4 linked regions of the Nothobranchius furzeri genome follow. The protein of the gene in region 4 interacts with the protein of the main gene of each other region in a pairwise test. Links are inferred from orthologs where the notes say so. Each region holds a gene or a part of one and is shown on either strand. Other genes may lie near its edges. The genes, in order: mcm6, jade1, tat and ubiquitin-protein ligase E3A.

Evidence for each region.
Region 1: the proteins of ubiquitin-protein ligase E3A (region 4) and mcm6 interact in binary tests that used the Homo sapiens proteins (3 or more experiments, as listed by UniProt). The link is inferred for Nothobranchius furzeri from reciprocal best matches to the Homo sapiens genes UBE3A and MCM6.
Region 2: the proteins of ubiquitin-protein ligase E3A (region 4) and jade1 interact in a two-hybrid assay, tested with the Homo sapiens proteins (3 studies listed by BioGRID and IntAct). The link is inferred for Nothobranchius furzeri from reciprocal best matches to the Homo sapiens genes UBE3A and JADE1.
Region 3: the proteins of ubiquitin-protein ligase E3A (region 4) and tat interact in binary tests that used the Homo sapiens proteins (3 or more experiments, as listed by UniProt). The link is inferred for Nothobranchius furzeri from reciprocal best matches to the Homo sapiens genes UBE3A and TAT.

What each region holds. Positions count from the first base shown.
Region 1 is NC_091751.1:64,049,516-64,053,082, reverse strand, and holds the end of mcm6 (DNA replication licensing factor MCM6), read right to left. Parts: intron 3,487-3,567; coding exon 3,331-3,486; intron 3,220-3,330; coding exon 3,091-3,219; intron 1,822-3,090; coding exon 1,657-1,821; intron 1,484-1,656; coding exon 1,360-1,483; intron 1,284-1,359; coding exon 1,107-1,283; intron 1,039-1,106; coding exon 899-1,038; intron 818-898; coding exon 707-817; 3' UTR 413-706; downstream 1-412. Other genes in the region: uncharacterized protein si:ch73-71c20.5, read right to left, coding at 1-51, 250-337. UniProt on the Homo sapiens protein: Acts as a component of the MCM2-7 complex (MCM complex) which is the replicative helicase essential for 'once per cell cycle' DNA replication initiation and elongation in eukaryotic cells.
Region 2 is NC_091758.1:17,731,507-17,735,727, reverse strand, and holds the start of jade1 (protein Jade-1), read right to left. Parts: upstream 2,844-4,221; 5' UTR 2,725-2,843; coding exon 2,711-2,724; intron 1-2,710.
Region 3 is NC_091744.1:86,501,536-86,505,593, reverse strand, and holds the start of tat (tyrosine aminotransferase), read right to left. Parts: upstream 2,838-4,058; 5' UTR 2,701-2,837; intron 880-2,700; 5' UTR 874-879; coding exon 576-873; intron 443-575; coding exon 338-442; intron 213-337; coding exon 145-212; intron 1-144. UniProt on the Homo sapiens protein: Transaminase involved in tyrosine breakdown. Converts tyrosine to p-hydroxyphenylpyruvate. Can catalyze the reverse reaction, using glutamic acid, with 2-oxoglutarate as cosubstrate (in vitro).
Region 4 is NC_091743.1:81,627,749-81,630,806, forward strand, and holds the end of ubiquitin-protein ligase E3A, read left to right. Parts: intron 1-1,553; coding exon 1,554-1,674; 3' UTR 1,675-2,522; downstream 2,523-3,058. UniProt on the Homo sapiens protein: E3 ubiquitin-protein ligase which accepts ubiquitin from an E2 ubiquitin-conjugating enzyme in the form of a thioester and transfers it to its substrates.

The sequences.
Region 1 (3,567 bases), on a different chromosome or scaffold from region 4:
CTGTTGGGGTCTGAAAGCGATGCGTGAAGAGAAACCGACAGGTGGAGAAACCTGAGGGACGAATTTAAGCCTTAAATCACCTTTTTCTTCCATCGCTTCCCCGCCGGTTAGTTTACCGGAAACGTGTTTGAGTAAACGTCCAACAACGAAACCCTAAATATTTATAGGTTAATTTAGCGTTCGACACGTGGAATTAAAAGCTAACTTGGTGGCTTCATCACGTGAGTTCACGTTTATCGTGTTTTTTACCTGTTAGGGTTGCTCGGACTGCTGTCAAGCGGGGCGCCGCCATGTTTGTCGAATAACACAAAAACAGACATGCGCAATACCTCTTCATCCAGTCAGCCTGCTGCCCCCGGTGGACAGTGCTGGTATTACGTTATTTACCCAAAAACAGGATCAAAACCACGTGTTTACATTAACATTTTATTGAGTAAACAAGCGTACACTTCCTGTCACCATATTACAAAACCAGCAACAAGTGGAAACCATCTTATTAGAAAGTCATCACACAGTCCAGAGGTTCTACTGACTCATAACAGTCAGTGGAGCAAACTACACAAAGCAGCGTATTTACATCTCATCTTTTAGGAGCCTCCATAGTTCATCTTTGTACAGCAGGGGCCACCTCCAAAAGATGGTCTAACAGCATCTCCAAAGTCATGCGATCTTCAGCAGAACACCATGAACATCCAGAGCAGATGGTTTAATCCTCCAGGATGTAGTTGGGATTAACGACCAGAACAACGTCTTCCTCTGTGCTCTCAGCCTCAGAGCCCTTTAGTCCAGCCTGAGACAGCTCAATGAGGATGTGATCCTACAAAGACACAAACGTTGGTGTGAGCGGATTAAACTTTAATCGAACATTGATAGAAATATCCACCGAGCGCAGACTCACGTAGTGGACCAGCCTCTGGATGACCTTCTCTATCAGAGCCTTCTTATTGATCAGCTCTTCCTCAGAGTCGATATCTGACTCGATCTCCTTCAGATACCAGTTTATCACTGCATTTTTCCTCAGCTCCTCCTCTTGATCGGCTGAAAAGGAGAAAAGTCCAGTTTAGCTGCAGCTTTAGACAAAAGGGAGTAGGAGGACCGCCTCTTACCGTCCTCTGTTCTGCGCAGATGCAGCACCAACAGGTTGGAGATGCGTTTGTACTCGGCAAAAGACAAACGCAGAGAAGGTTTGGGTTGGCTGTCATGCTCCGCGTGACCATTCACGCCACTGGCATGACCATTAATCCCATTAACATGATCGTCGACACCATTTGGTACATTGTTGACTGCAGATGGAAAACTGTTCAGTGAAGATCTACAGATCATCAGCAGCAGGGTGTGCATACAGATAACTCCTCATACCTTCCTCCTGCTGCTCCTCGTCCTCAAATTCATCCTCCTGATCCAGGTTGATGTCGGGCGTCTCCACTCGGATGATGGACTTGTTTAGGAGACGGAAAGCTTCCTTCACGTGTTTGGGCTGCACCTGGAGACGAGGAAACCATCATTGGTGCTTTTCATATTCATCTTTTTTCCAGATCATGTCCACACCAGTCATCTGCTGTGTCTTGACGCCGCTTCCTGTCATTTGACACTTTCTGTAAACATGAGCCAAACTGCTCTGTCCTGGTCCAGTCAGCTCCTCCGTCTACGTCGTACCTCATCACAGCAGTGCATGCGTGCCATGGCCTCAGACAGGCGGATCATGCTCTCCAGCTGCCGCACCGTAATCCTCCAGGCGGATTTGGACACGCTCCCAGAGCCGTCGCGCTGACGCAGACGCTTGTACTGCTCGACAATGAACTCCTCAGACTCACCGGAGATCTGCCATGGCATCATACACAGACACACACACACACACAGACACACACACACACACACACACACACACACACACACACACACACTGCAGCTTTTACACTCAGTCAGTCCAAAACAGTCACCTGATAAATGTAAGGCCATTTAAAATCAACACCAAGTGGTTTTTAACATTTTAAGCTATTGCTTTTAAACTGGTTTTAGTGGTTCTTAAGCATCTTCATATTGGACAGCACCCAGTAGCCCTCTGCTGACCAGAAACTCTACCAGGGGCAGCGTTAGGCCCGGCTACTTGGGCTGAAGCCCCGGATGTTTCATGAAAAGCCCCGGATCTAAATTGCAGAAGTAACATGCAGTACCAAAGTCCAACAGAGAGGGAGCAGCTGGCAGTAGTTTGTATACAGCCTGCCTGAGCCTCCACCACTGAAGAAGAAGCCCTTCAGCAACCGGCTTCTTCTACACTCTCTGCCTGAAACGCATGAGTGAAGATGGACATAAGGACGTTTTTTAGACCAAAAGTACGGCGACAGAACCCCAGCTTTGATGAGACTGGTGTTGACTCAGGTTTGTGAGTCTTATTAGAAAGTACTTGTTGTGCTGCTGGTTTGCCTAAAGTTAGCTTATCAGGTAAAGTTGTTGGAGAAAGAACGGGAATATTTACTATCATCTCACACTAAACACTAACAGGAACAATACTCTGCCCTGAAAATGCTTAATATGTAGCTTCAGATTAAAAATTATGTGGTACAAGACATATATGATGTTGACTAATGCGTGTCATGTGTGTGTGTGCGCGTGTGTGTGTGTGTGCGTGTTAAGCCCCGGATCTTCTTCGGTCCTTAATCCGCCCCTGAACTCTACTAAACCGTTTTGTGGTTCAGGTAGGAACACTAGAGGGAGGTTTCTACCTGGTTTATGGCAAAAGCGGTTTACTGTACTGGTAGCCAATATAAAAGCTAGCAGTTAGTTGTTTTTTTTTTGTTGGCATCATGGCGTAGCCTGGAAATAAAAGTGAGAGGATTGTTTTTAGAGGCGGAGCAAAGCGCTAAAACCAGAGTGAAAATGGGTGTGGCCTACATGACATCACAGACTGATGGTGGACTTGAAAGGAATATATTTTTTGACCATATGTGTGGACTTTTTCCCCCGTGACTCGCGTAGTATCGGCTTGCGTTAGCTGCAGTGGGGTTTAGGAGGGTGCTGCTTGAAACCTAGATACTTTTATTGTAGCAGCTTTATTCTGGAGTACTTCCTGTTTTTATTTAAAACACACACCTTGGGTTTAAACTGCCGAGCAAAAAGCAGGTATCTGCGGATTTCATCTAAGGAGTACAGTCTGTCCACGGACTCCTCCACCCGGGAGTGCAGGTCCACGATTCTCCTGGCGATGGCGTAATCTGTGACCTGAGATACACACGGGTAGATAAATGATCACCTCCATCAGATCCTTGGTTACTACAGCATGGAAAAATCACACACACACACATTTTCCCTCCGTGTTGTGTGTTTCCGTACCTCATTACACTCATCCACCAGGATGAAGAAGAGGTCGAAGCGGCTCATGATGGGGGCGGTCAGGTTGACGTTCTGCTTCAGGCTCTTGCTGCGGTCGTAGCGCCCGTTGACGGGGTTGGCAGCAGCCAGGATGGACGTGCGTGCGTTCAGAGTAGCCTGAACAAACAGAGGAGATTATTTTCCAGAGGTAAAAACTTGAACAGGTGAGGTGTTCCGGGCTCAGCTGGACGGTGCTAC
Region 2 (4,221 bases), on a different chromosome or scaffold from region 4:
CCCTCAGTCTTGTTTTGAAGGCACCACAATCATGGGGAAGACTTCTGACTTAACAGCTGTCCAAAAGACAATCATTGACACCTTGCACAAGGAGGGCAAGACACAAAAGGTGATTGCTAAAGAAGCTGGCTGTTCGCAGAGCTCTGTGTCCAAGCACATTAACAGACAGGCGAAGGGACGGAAAAAATGTGGTAGAAAAAAGTGTACAAGCTCTAGGGATAACCGCACCCTGCAGAGAATTGTGACGACAAACCCATTCAAAAATGTGGGGGAGATCCACAAAGAGTGGACTGCAGCTGGAGTCAGCGCTTCAAGAACCACCACGAGGAGACTCATGAAAGACATGGGATTCAGGTGTCGCATTCCGTGTGTCAAGCCACTCTTGAACATGAAACAGCGCAAGAAGCGTCTCGCCTGGGCCAAGGACAAAAAGGACTGGACTGATGCTGAGTGGTCCAAAGTTATGTTTTCTGATGAAAGCAAGTTCTGCATTTCCTTTGGAAATCAAGGACCCAGAGTCTGGAGGAAGAGCGGAGAAGCACAGAATCCACGTTGCATGAGGTCCAGTGTAAAGTTTCCACCGTCAGTGATGGTGTGGGGTGCCATGTCATCTGCCGGTGTTGGCCCACTCTGTTTCCTGAGGTCCAGGGTCAATGCAGCCGTCTACCAGGAAGTTTTAGAGCACTTCATGCTTCCTGCTGCTGACCAACTTTATGGGGATGCAGACTTCACCTTTCAACAGGACTTGGCACCTGCACACAGTGCCAAAACCACCAGCACCTGGTTCAAGGACCATGGTATCCCTGTCCTTGATTGGCCAGCAAACTCGCCTGACCTTAACCCCATAGAAAATCTATGGGGTATTGTGAAGCGGAGGATGCAATACGCTAGACCCAACAATGCAGAGGAGCTGAAGACGACTATCAGAGCAACCTGGGCTCTCATAACACCTGAGCAGTGCCACAGACTGATCGAGTCCATGCCACGCCGCATTACTGCAGTTATTGAGGCAAAAGGAGCCCCGACTAAGTATTGAGTGCTATACATGCACATTCTTTTCATGTTCATTCTTTTCAGTTGGCCAACATTAGAGAAACAAACATTTTTTCATTGGCCTTTAGAATATTCTAATTTTCTGAGATACCAGATTTGATGTTTTCATTGGTTGTCACCTATAAATATCAAAATTAAACGTAATAAACATCGGAAATACATTGGTCTGTGTGCATTGCATGAATATAATGTACAAGTTTCACGTTTTGAATGGAATTACTGAAATATTTTCAACCTTTTGATGATATTCTAATTTACTGGCCAGCACCTGTAGAAGTCACAGTCAGCCGATTCTTTGGGCCTATTTTTAAGGCTGAATTTTCCTACCTTATTTACACACTAAGATGTCACTAATAACAGTGAAAGCACAACGTTCACTGAATTTAACTAACAATATTAATTTTGCGTGCATCTCCATGTTTTAATTATTTGTTTAATCAAAGTTAATCAAAGAAATGAATAACAGACACGTATTAAATATACAAAACAGGTAGGTAAATAAAATGTTAATCAACAATAATGTTTTAAAGCAAGTGTTATTCAGGAACGTAAATACACATTAAAAAATTAAATTCAGCAGCAGCAGTGGGCTGCCAGCGGAAGTGCCCGACTATATGTATAATAACTGGTAAATATCGCCCTGATATATCGGTCTATTTCAAGTTTACATCCAACAACAACCCACAAATAAACAGAAACACCACCTGCCTCCAAGGCCGCAGAGTAGCAAGAAATTACAGCCTGGACTTAAAGAGCAAGTCAACCCCTACCAGAGTCTAACTCCACTCTCACTTCCTGTTTGAAAAATGAAACAAATGCTGTTGCCTGGCAGACCGAGAAGGCGGAGCTGCTAACAAATACACACACACAGGCTCACAACAGCATTGTGACATCATAATGTACCAGTTTACATCATAGCATACCTCTTAGCCAATAGCGGTGGCAGACTTAAATTAAAATACAGTGCAGAGTTTTTACCTGACAACGGCACAACACTGCCAGTTTTAGGCAGAATATTTAAATTTTAACTAAGATGGACTGAAGTGCCAAATTATTCACTACACGTGTCTGCAGCACGATTAGACACTCGTTTATTTAGTTTATCAGCAAAAAAAAATTTATTTGGGGGTGACTTGCTCTTTAAATAAGATATGTGTTCCAAGCCGGATGTGTGTGTAACTAACAAAATAAAAAAAAACTTCAAAGTAATTTAAATGAGCACGTTTTTATTTAAATGTAACAAATGAAGAAATGGAAATGTTGTTTATTAAAATATGATGGTGACACCACCACATGAACCACTTATTTTTTTGAATATTATAACCGGATATTGTCATTTTAAACTCGCTTCACTTCCGGTGTTATGCCACTTTCCGTTTCCCGTTTACATAGACGCTGAAACACCAATGTTAATCTGAGCAAACGCGTTTGTATTTTGCTTCGTAAGAACCATCGGCATATAAAAATAAGAACTGGCGGCTTCCGTAGACTTCCGAAGCGGCCGTACAACGTAATCTCAACGTACACGCACACACAAAAAGTGTTGACAATTAGTAGTTTTACGTTAAGGCAGACAAAATAAAAACAGACCCCACGTTTGATGTTTGATAATATCAAATTGATATGATAGGTCAAAGAAAATACAACAATAACTTACTGAAAACGGTTCATTAAATGCTGCGCTGATCACGTAGCGAATCGGCAAATCTCACCAGATAACCTAACTACCAGTAGATTCTAAACACCCGTGTCCGTGACGCCCGTGTTGGTGCAGCAAAAAGTGACGCTGAGAAAAAAAAACTACAGCGGAATCCAGAAAGCGGCTGTGTGTTCCGTTAGATAATGATGAAAAATTCCAAAAGACCCAAAGTTGTTCTGAATTTGAAAGATCTCACGGTGATTGCAGCTATCGAACGCTGCTAGCCCGATAGCTGCTGCTGTGTGCATCGTCCAGGCCAACACATACCCGGCGCCTTAATGGCGTAATCATCAGATAACTACTTTCGCTTGCAGTATCGAGACACAAGAACCGGTATAACACAGTTCACGTCACACAACTTCACTCTAGGGGAAAAAAACTCAAAGCAAAACAAATATGCCTGGGGTTAGCAACTTCGGAGCTAGTTGGTAGCCATTGCAGACGCTGTGTCCCTTATTAAATCAGCCACTGCCGCAATCAGTCAAAAGTTAGGGGTCAGATATTAATGCATAAATCTTACACAAGTTCAATATACATCTCTGGATAAGAAATATTAATTAACATGTAAACACAAGTTGGTTTTCAGTGTGGCTAACCAGCAGTAGAGAGTGGGATGTTTACAGAACGGGCTGAGGTAAACCTTTGGCGCCATTTTAAATGACGACGTCGCGTTTTCCTAGCGGACCGCTCGTGCGACCATAACGGAAACTTGCCCACCTTTCCCGATTACAAGATTTGTTTACATGTGTGCGTGTTAATAAGAACACTTGAAATAAGTTGTACAGTACGTACGAGCACGTCAGACCGATGCAAGCCGATGCTTGAGTTCGCTGTGGGGCGCAGTTTTAGCTGAGATCCGCTTGACCCGTATTCCAGAGCGGCGGTCTGGGAGGAGGTTACCAAGGGACTGCAGCTGCGCCCGGACTCCGCTAGAGGGCAGCACACTATCCCACAACCAGATCGGAGATGAGTATATTTTATTATTGCCGTGATCATAAACGTCCAAAGTATTTTACCGCCTCAGGAAAATAATGGATTTGTTTATTAAGAACCAACGGATTAACTCAAATTTATCACAATTCTTGTATTAGTGTGAATGACTCAGCTTTCCCAACACCCACTCCTTTTAGGGCAAACTGATTATTAAAGAGACAGATCATATAAAAATACCATTTATAGTTTAGGGTTTACTGCTAATAAACACTTGGTATCTTTAAAGATTCATTTAAATTATGTCAGCTGAAGAATTGTGTTTATAACATGGAGCTAAAATAGAAACGTTTCTTCTTTACACAACATTTTTCTTTCATTTAAAGTTTTGTACAAATTTACTTTTTTAATAAATATAAATGAAATGCAAATATTTGCACCATTGATTTATAAAATTTAAACACTTTTAGATTCAAATCAAGTTAATTAACCTTTAAACATATTAATTTTAACCACCTGATCGAGGAAATCAGCTTCCT
Region 3 (4,058 bases), on a different chromosome or scaffold from region 4:
CTGAACAGCAGAGTGGGGAAACGTTTAGCTGTCATTTGGTAAGAATAAACTGATAAGTTAGTACAGTTAAAATGTTTGCTGGCACAAACTGCTTCGTCTCCATATAGGAAGTGTTTATAGGTGTGACTGAAGCAGACTCAGCACCTCTGCCTGCAGCGGAGCCTCGGGGCAGCTGTAAAAGTTGGCCACAGCCTGTCGACTCTGTAAGTAACCTAAAGGTGCAAAAAGTACAGATGCATGACGCCAAAGGGTGGAAAATGTCAGTGAACGCAAGTTCTGCTGAAGACAGCACTGTCGTTTCTGCACGTCAACGCCTTTATTCATCAGAGCGACTCACCCACAGAAGGAGCATAGCCGTTGAATTTTTGGGAGTCGATGGCATCTTTCATGGCCTGGAGAACAGCATCATCTGTAGGCAGGTTTCCAAAGACAGTGGGATCTCCTGGAAAGCAGATGTGGTATTCAGAGATTGTAACAAACGAAAATGTGTCCTGTTTGCTGAATCAACACTAAACAGAGTCTTGTGATGAACCACAGGACACAAGGGAACAAATGAAACACCAGAAAGTTCCCACCGATAGAAAGTGCGATCATGGGTTTGTCTGGGTTTGGGGTGAGCTTCATCCCATCCACGATGGCCCTGATGGGGTTGAGCGTGTTGTTGGCCATCTCTGAGGGCTGCACGTCCCACATCTGCCGGCGGCTCTTGACTTTGGCTGGATACAAGCTGCCGTTCACGTTGACGTGGTGTATCCCATTCCCATGCATTCCCTTCCCAGTCACACCAGTCCCATTCAGGGGTTTGGGTTGGATGGCAGATTTGCCATGGACTCTTTTGTCATTCATCTGAACCACGTAGGCCTTGTTGTCCATCCGGAACTGATGATGCATAAAAAAAGATAATCTGGTCATTAAATTGCTTAACATTGATAAGCTGAGTCTAACCTGCTACTGGAGAGGCTGAGAGACTGGGTCGGCCTATCAGGATCTGCTCTGGAGTGGTTCCCCTCTTATCTCTCTGAGCGCTCCTTTTCTGTGGCCGTCTCCAAGTTTAGGTCCTCCACCACCTCTCTTACCCATGGTGTCCCACAAGGTTCTGTGCTGGGGCCTCTGCTCTTCCTCCTCTATCTGCTTCCTCTTCAGCACATCCTGAGCTCCTTCAAAGGACTCTCCTACCATCTTTATGCAGATGACATCCAACTGTACATCTCCTTTAAGCCCCATGAGATGTCTAAGCTGCAGCTGTTCCACACCTGCTTAGACTCTATCAAAACCTGGATGGTGGGAGCTTTCTTCAGCTGAATGAAGATAAGACTGAGATCCTCATCTGTGCCCCAGACAAGCTGGTTCCCAAAGTCAGAGACTCTCTTGGTCAGCTTGCTTCCCACACCAAACCTTCTGTCAGGAATCTTGGCGTGACCTTTGACCCAGCTCTCACCCTGGATTCTCATGTCAGTTCTCTTGTTGGCTCCTCCTTCTTCCATCTCAGGAACGTTGCTAAGCTGAGTCCCATTCTGTCCCGCTCTGAACTTGAGACAGTTCTCCGCACCTTCATCTCCTCATGCTTAGACTACTGTAACTCTCTTTTCACGTGTCTGAGCAGAACCTCCCTGAACCGTCTACAGGTGGTTCAGAACGCCGGTGCTCGGCTTCTGACCAAGTCCTCCAAACACACCCACATCACCCCGCTTCTCCTCCAGCTTCACTGGCTGCCAGTCAACTTCAGGGTTCATTCCAAGATCCTGGTTCTGGTCTATAGGGCCTTACATGGACAAGCACCATCTTACATTGGTGATCTTCTTAGTCCCTACACCCCCAGCAGGTCCCTGAGGTCCAGTGATCAAATTCTACTGGTTGTGCAGCACCAGTCTAAAGGTCAAAGGTGACAGATCATCTGCTGCTGTGGCCCCCAGACTCTGGACCTCTCTCCCCCTGAGCCTGAGATCAGTGGACTCAGTGGTCTCCTTTAAAAAGCAGCTGAAAACAGGCTGGCTTTGGTGCGACCTTCTGCTGATTCTTCATCACTACCTTCTCCTCATTCTGTCTTTCTTGTGATACAGTGATTATCTTTTTTTTTTAATTTTGTCTTCCTTCACATCTTTTCATCTAAAATGTACTTTTTTCCTCATTTTTATTATGATATACTTTTAAAATCATATTTTATTTTTAGTTCTTGTGAAACTTTAATCCTTTCGCTTGCAGGTCAACTTCTTTATATTTTGTCTTCATATGTTAATGAGACTTAACTGAAACTACACGCTTCGGATAATGTGTATACATCATTAATGCTTATGTTGCGCCCTTGTAGATGTTGTGAGGAGTAACATAGGAGGATTGCATGAGAGGGTAGGTGGTAAATTACCAGCATTTTAAGTCATCTAGGGAAGTAGTAACTAAAGAAGGGGAGGCTGAAATGTTCTGACTAAGAAAAGAGACAGCTACTAGCACCAATAATTAGGAAAATCAACTCAAAACACCTGAGAAACAGCAGCCAGTAATCAAATAATTGGGTTTAATTTGATCTCTTTTTGGATGATGATGCTCACTGTCTTCACCTTTGTGTCAAACTGAACCTACGCTGCACAAAAAAATTCATCAGCACCAACTTGCATGATCAAGCTGACTCTTATCCATCTTGGTTCATCATCTGTATTCATTCATCCTCTAACAGCTTTGGAGAAGAAGAAAAATAATCCTTACCTCATAAAACAATCAGCACAAAGTCTCCAGAATCCAGAGCAGGTCAGTAACTCCTAAACCAAATGTCCAAAAGGGAGATTCAGGACGTATTTATAGCCTATAGATGATGTTTTATAGGAAGACATCCATGTGGGAGTTGAGCGCTGCCCAGGTTTCCATTGGTGGAAGCTGAGGGTTGTGCTATTGCACCCTCTTACATAACTAACCAGAACCACCTTAAACCATTAACGGCTGCAATTTGGAACCGTGGAGATGGAGGGGAGGAGGGTGTGCGGGTCTGGGCTCACGCAAATGTCGGGAGCTCTCGTTGGCTGCGCAGGGGGCGCATTGTGCGCGTCATAAGCCTCGCGGGGGCGCAAAGTGAGACAGCCTCAACAGCAGGAAGTGTTGTGTCTCTGCTTTAAATTAGTTAAAAGCTCGAAATATAATAATTATGATGCATAATTGCATAATTAACAAAAAAATCTAAATTCTTATAAGACTCTTCCTGCCTCAGAATGAGTTTCCAGGATTTGGTCAGCACGCAGACCTCTGATGATCTAAACAGTCCACAAAAATGTTGTTTTTCATTTTTTAACGAGCTTTCCCCTAAATAAAAAAGCTCGTCCTTAAACCTCCAGCGTTACAAGTTACATGAGTTTTCTATCCTGATCAGAGAAACTGTGATGATGTTGTTGAATTGTCTAACGGCTGCGGAGCTGTTATGACCTCCAGATGTTGTGCAACGTGTGACACAGCTGGAGATGACTCCGGGATGAAGGTCTAAACAAACACGAGCCTACCTGGTGAATGATTACAAGACATAAAAGCTCGAGTACGATTAATATAATAAAAGGTTCATTTCTGTTTCAAGACAGAGGCAAACTCAGTTTTATAAAAAAGTACACAAGCTGACCGAATAACTTTTGTTTGCTGTTATATCTTGCCTAGTTTTTAACAGATTTAGTAATAAATATAAATAATTAGTTCCGGAGTTAAGATCACTGTGATACAAACACTTGTCCAAAAAATAAATAATGTGCAAATGTAGAAAGTGGTGCACAGTTTGAGAAAAGGGTGAGGTTTTATTTTCATTTGGTAAATTGTCGGCTATGACGTCATAACCTAACTGACACTTATGTCCACGTCAGACAGCTGGTTGGAATGACGGCATGAAAAACCAACATGGTGGCGGTCTTAGATTTCCTCTTTATAATAACAAGTTCTACCTTGATGCTCCTCCCACACCTTGGAGCGGGTGATCTAAACCAATCACGTGATGGCATCATCAGTGAAGAGGGCTCTGTGATGGACGGCTCGGCCACACATGATCAGAAGTTAACACTGCCTCACCCCTTGAGTTATGCTCCATACATTCA
Region 4 (3,058 bases):
TTAAGATAGTTTTAGAGCAGACTGCTTCTAATTCACCATTAGCATTGTTAGCGCATTGTTAGCCTCTAGCCTGCTTCTCCTGAAATTTGAGTAAAACAAAAAGATGCTGTGGCTTCTTAGGGGTACAAGAAATGACTTCTGGGTTGCTCCTGTTTACAGGCTACTGTCCTTTAAACAACTTTTTGCCTGTTGGTTTTGAATTACAAATGCCTGAGCTGCTGAGTTAGCTCACTGCAGATTCGGCAACCTCACAAACTCTGAGTGTAAACGGTGACTACGTCCCACTTTTCTTCTTTTCAAAAAGAGAAACATTGACAGACTCTAAGCTGTGTGAGAAGGACATCGGTTCCAGTTTCACCTTTCTTCCAACCTGACAGACATTAGACCTTTTTGGGATTATTTCTCACAAATTGCACCTTTATGTGGGATGAAACTCTTGCATGGTTACAACAAATAAAATCTGACCAGTGTGGCGTGCATTTGTATACACCCACCCATAAAAAGTTTGATTTTGGTCTGGTCCCACCAGAGTACCTTCTTCCTCATATCTGCTACATGACTAAGGTTGGGCATTGTTTGATTTTGAACGATTCCAATTCCTCAGTTTGATTCCGGTTCCTATCGATTCCCGATTCCGGTTCTTTCAAGACATGGCATGTTTTACATGAGCCAGCTAACCACAGGTCCTGCTTGATGAAATAATCTTAACTTCAACATTAATTTTAACTCTATGAACAACAACATCACCTTCATTTAGACAGAAACATGTTTTGGAGGAAAAAAGAAAGACTTGCAGCACAACCAGTGTGTTTGTTTCTGACCACAACCAAAGTCTGGAAGCAGCCTCTGGGATGAGAGGCTTAATGTCTCCAACATATCCAGAAACGTCCAGCTGTTTTCAGCTAAAACTCTCAGGAAGATCATGTCCAGGATGACTGAGAACTACACCTCCATGCAGCAGCAGCATTCAGTTAGAACAGAAAGTGAAACTTAATTGTAGCTGCTGTCAGTAACAATCTAACAGACACGAGTGTTGGTGAGCGGCTGCATCTGACTGCTGATGCTCCGTGTGTGTTTTTATTTCAGCAGTGAGACAAACTCACCTCACACCGTCCAGAGTTCTTTAAAGCTTCTGTTAAATCCACCGTGTTGACGTATTTTAACACGTTTCCTCTACGCTGCAGGAGTAAAGTTTACGTTACGGAGTAAAAGTTCGGCAGACGTGTTTGTTTATATCTGGGTGGGGGGAGGGGGGACTCGGTGCTGCACACAGACAGCTGGTGTGATCAGCTCTGAAAAGCGTTGATCACAATTTGCAGATCACGTTTATTTTTCATGATCGGCCGCGGATTCCTCTTCCAGTCGGCATTCTAGGAATCGAAATAAAAAACTTTGAACGATTCTGGGGAAAACTAACGGTTTCAACCGGTTCCAATCGATGCTCGATGCCCAACCCTAAATGACTCCTGGAAAACAAAAGCCCCTGATGACTCGTGTGTAACCTGAGTGGGAGTGAGTGGTGACCCCAGCTGTGTTGTGTGTTTTGTCTCCAGGTTACCCACGTCCCACACTTGCTTCAACGTGCTGCTGCTGCCTGAGTACAGCAGCAAGGACAAGCTGAGAGAGAGACTGCTGAAAGCCATCACCTATGCCAAAGGGTTTGGCATGCTCTGAGCCCCCCGCCCCCTCCTGCTACTAACAGACTCCTACTCAGAAAGCCCATGAAGCCCCGCCCTTGTTTTACCAGTCCAAACGGTGACTGATCACCCCCCACGCCGGGGGGTGTGTGTCCAGAAGGAAACATCAGTGAAAATGAGAGGACCCGTGGTTGTACGCCAGCGCACTATTACATCTGCTGCTGTGCCTGCATCATCCTACATCCGTCAGTGAGAGCACAGAGACCTCCTGAAGCACCCCCTCCTTTATGTTCCATGTACAGAGAGGATCATTTTCCTTATTATTTATTTGAAGGTTAAAATGGGTTCATCCATGCCTGTCTGTTGTGGTAGCTTCCCTACTCTGGGAAAGGGGGAGGGTTCCTATTAATCCATGTACATTTGGGACAGTGTCAAGTCAATAAAACCAGTTTATTGAACAAAACCTTGCTAAAGTAACCCTGATCTATCCAATCTTATGATCTAGTTTAGAGTAGCCTTTACTACAGATCCTGTACTCCCCTCTGAAGAGAGCCTTCACTCACCATTCCACCCACTCCTGTTGCTTTCTGTGTCCACAGACACAAAAATGATTAAGGTAAGCATCTGAGGGAGGACTGTCCTTTGGTCCAAAACGGCACATTATCGTAAATCTGTAGCTTATTTTTTAGTGCTTGGGCTTTTTTCGTTTGTATTCTGGGGGGACTCTGTTGGTTAGATTCGATCTTGTCAGAGCTGTGTAAAGTGCACTTAGACATTTTCAGAATGTTTGTTTCTTTGGCCACAGGTTGCCATTATTGTTTGGAGCATTTCATTTCCTTGTCTTCCTGTGTTGACAATTCCAAATAAAAACAAAACCAGTGTTTATATATGAGTGCAGCTGGAACTGCAGCAGTGGATGGTGCCTACGCACCTGCATTTATTTATAAAGCGCCATCTAGAGTCCCAGAACCCCCAAGGCACTTACAACACACACACTAGTGGTGGTGTAGCCGCAGCTGCCCAGGGGCACACATTCAGCTCCATCAGACCCTTCAACCATCACCAGCAGGTGAGGAGAGTGGAGTTTCTTTCCAACAGACCAGGGGTCTCATTTATCAAACATTGCGTAGAATCCTTACTAAAACCCTACTTAAGCTCAGAAACAAAATGTACTTACGCCAAGTAGGTTTGTGATCCAGTGGAGTACGCACAGCTGCACGCAATCTCCGCTTCATAAATCGGAGACTAACGAGAATGTTTCTCAGCTGCTTTTTAGTCACATCCCGCCCTCACCACGCCCACTTACTGCCATAAATAGTCAATGCAAATTGCCTTGTGGATCTCATGCATATACATAAGCCGGCTGTTGCAGCACTCCGCCAATGACATGGCGATCGCAGATCAAGGAAGTGCTGTTTCAC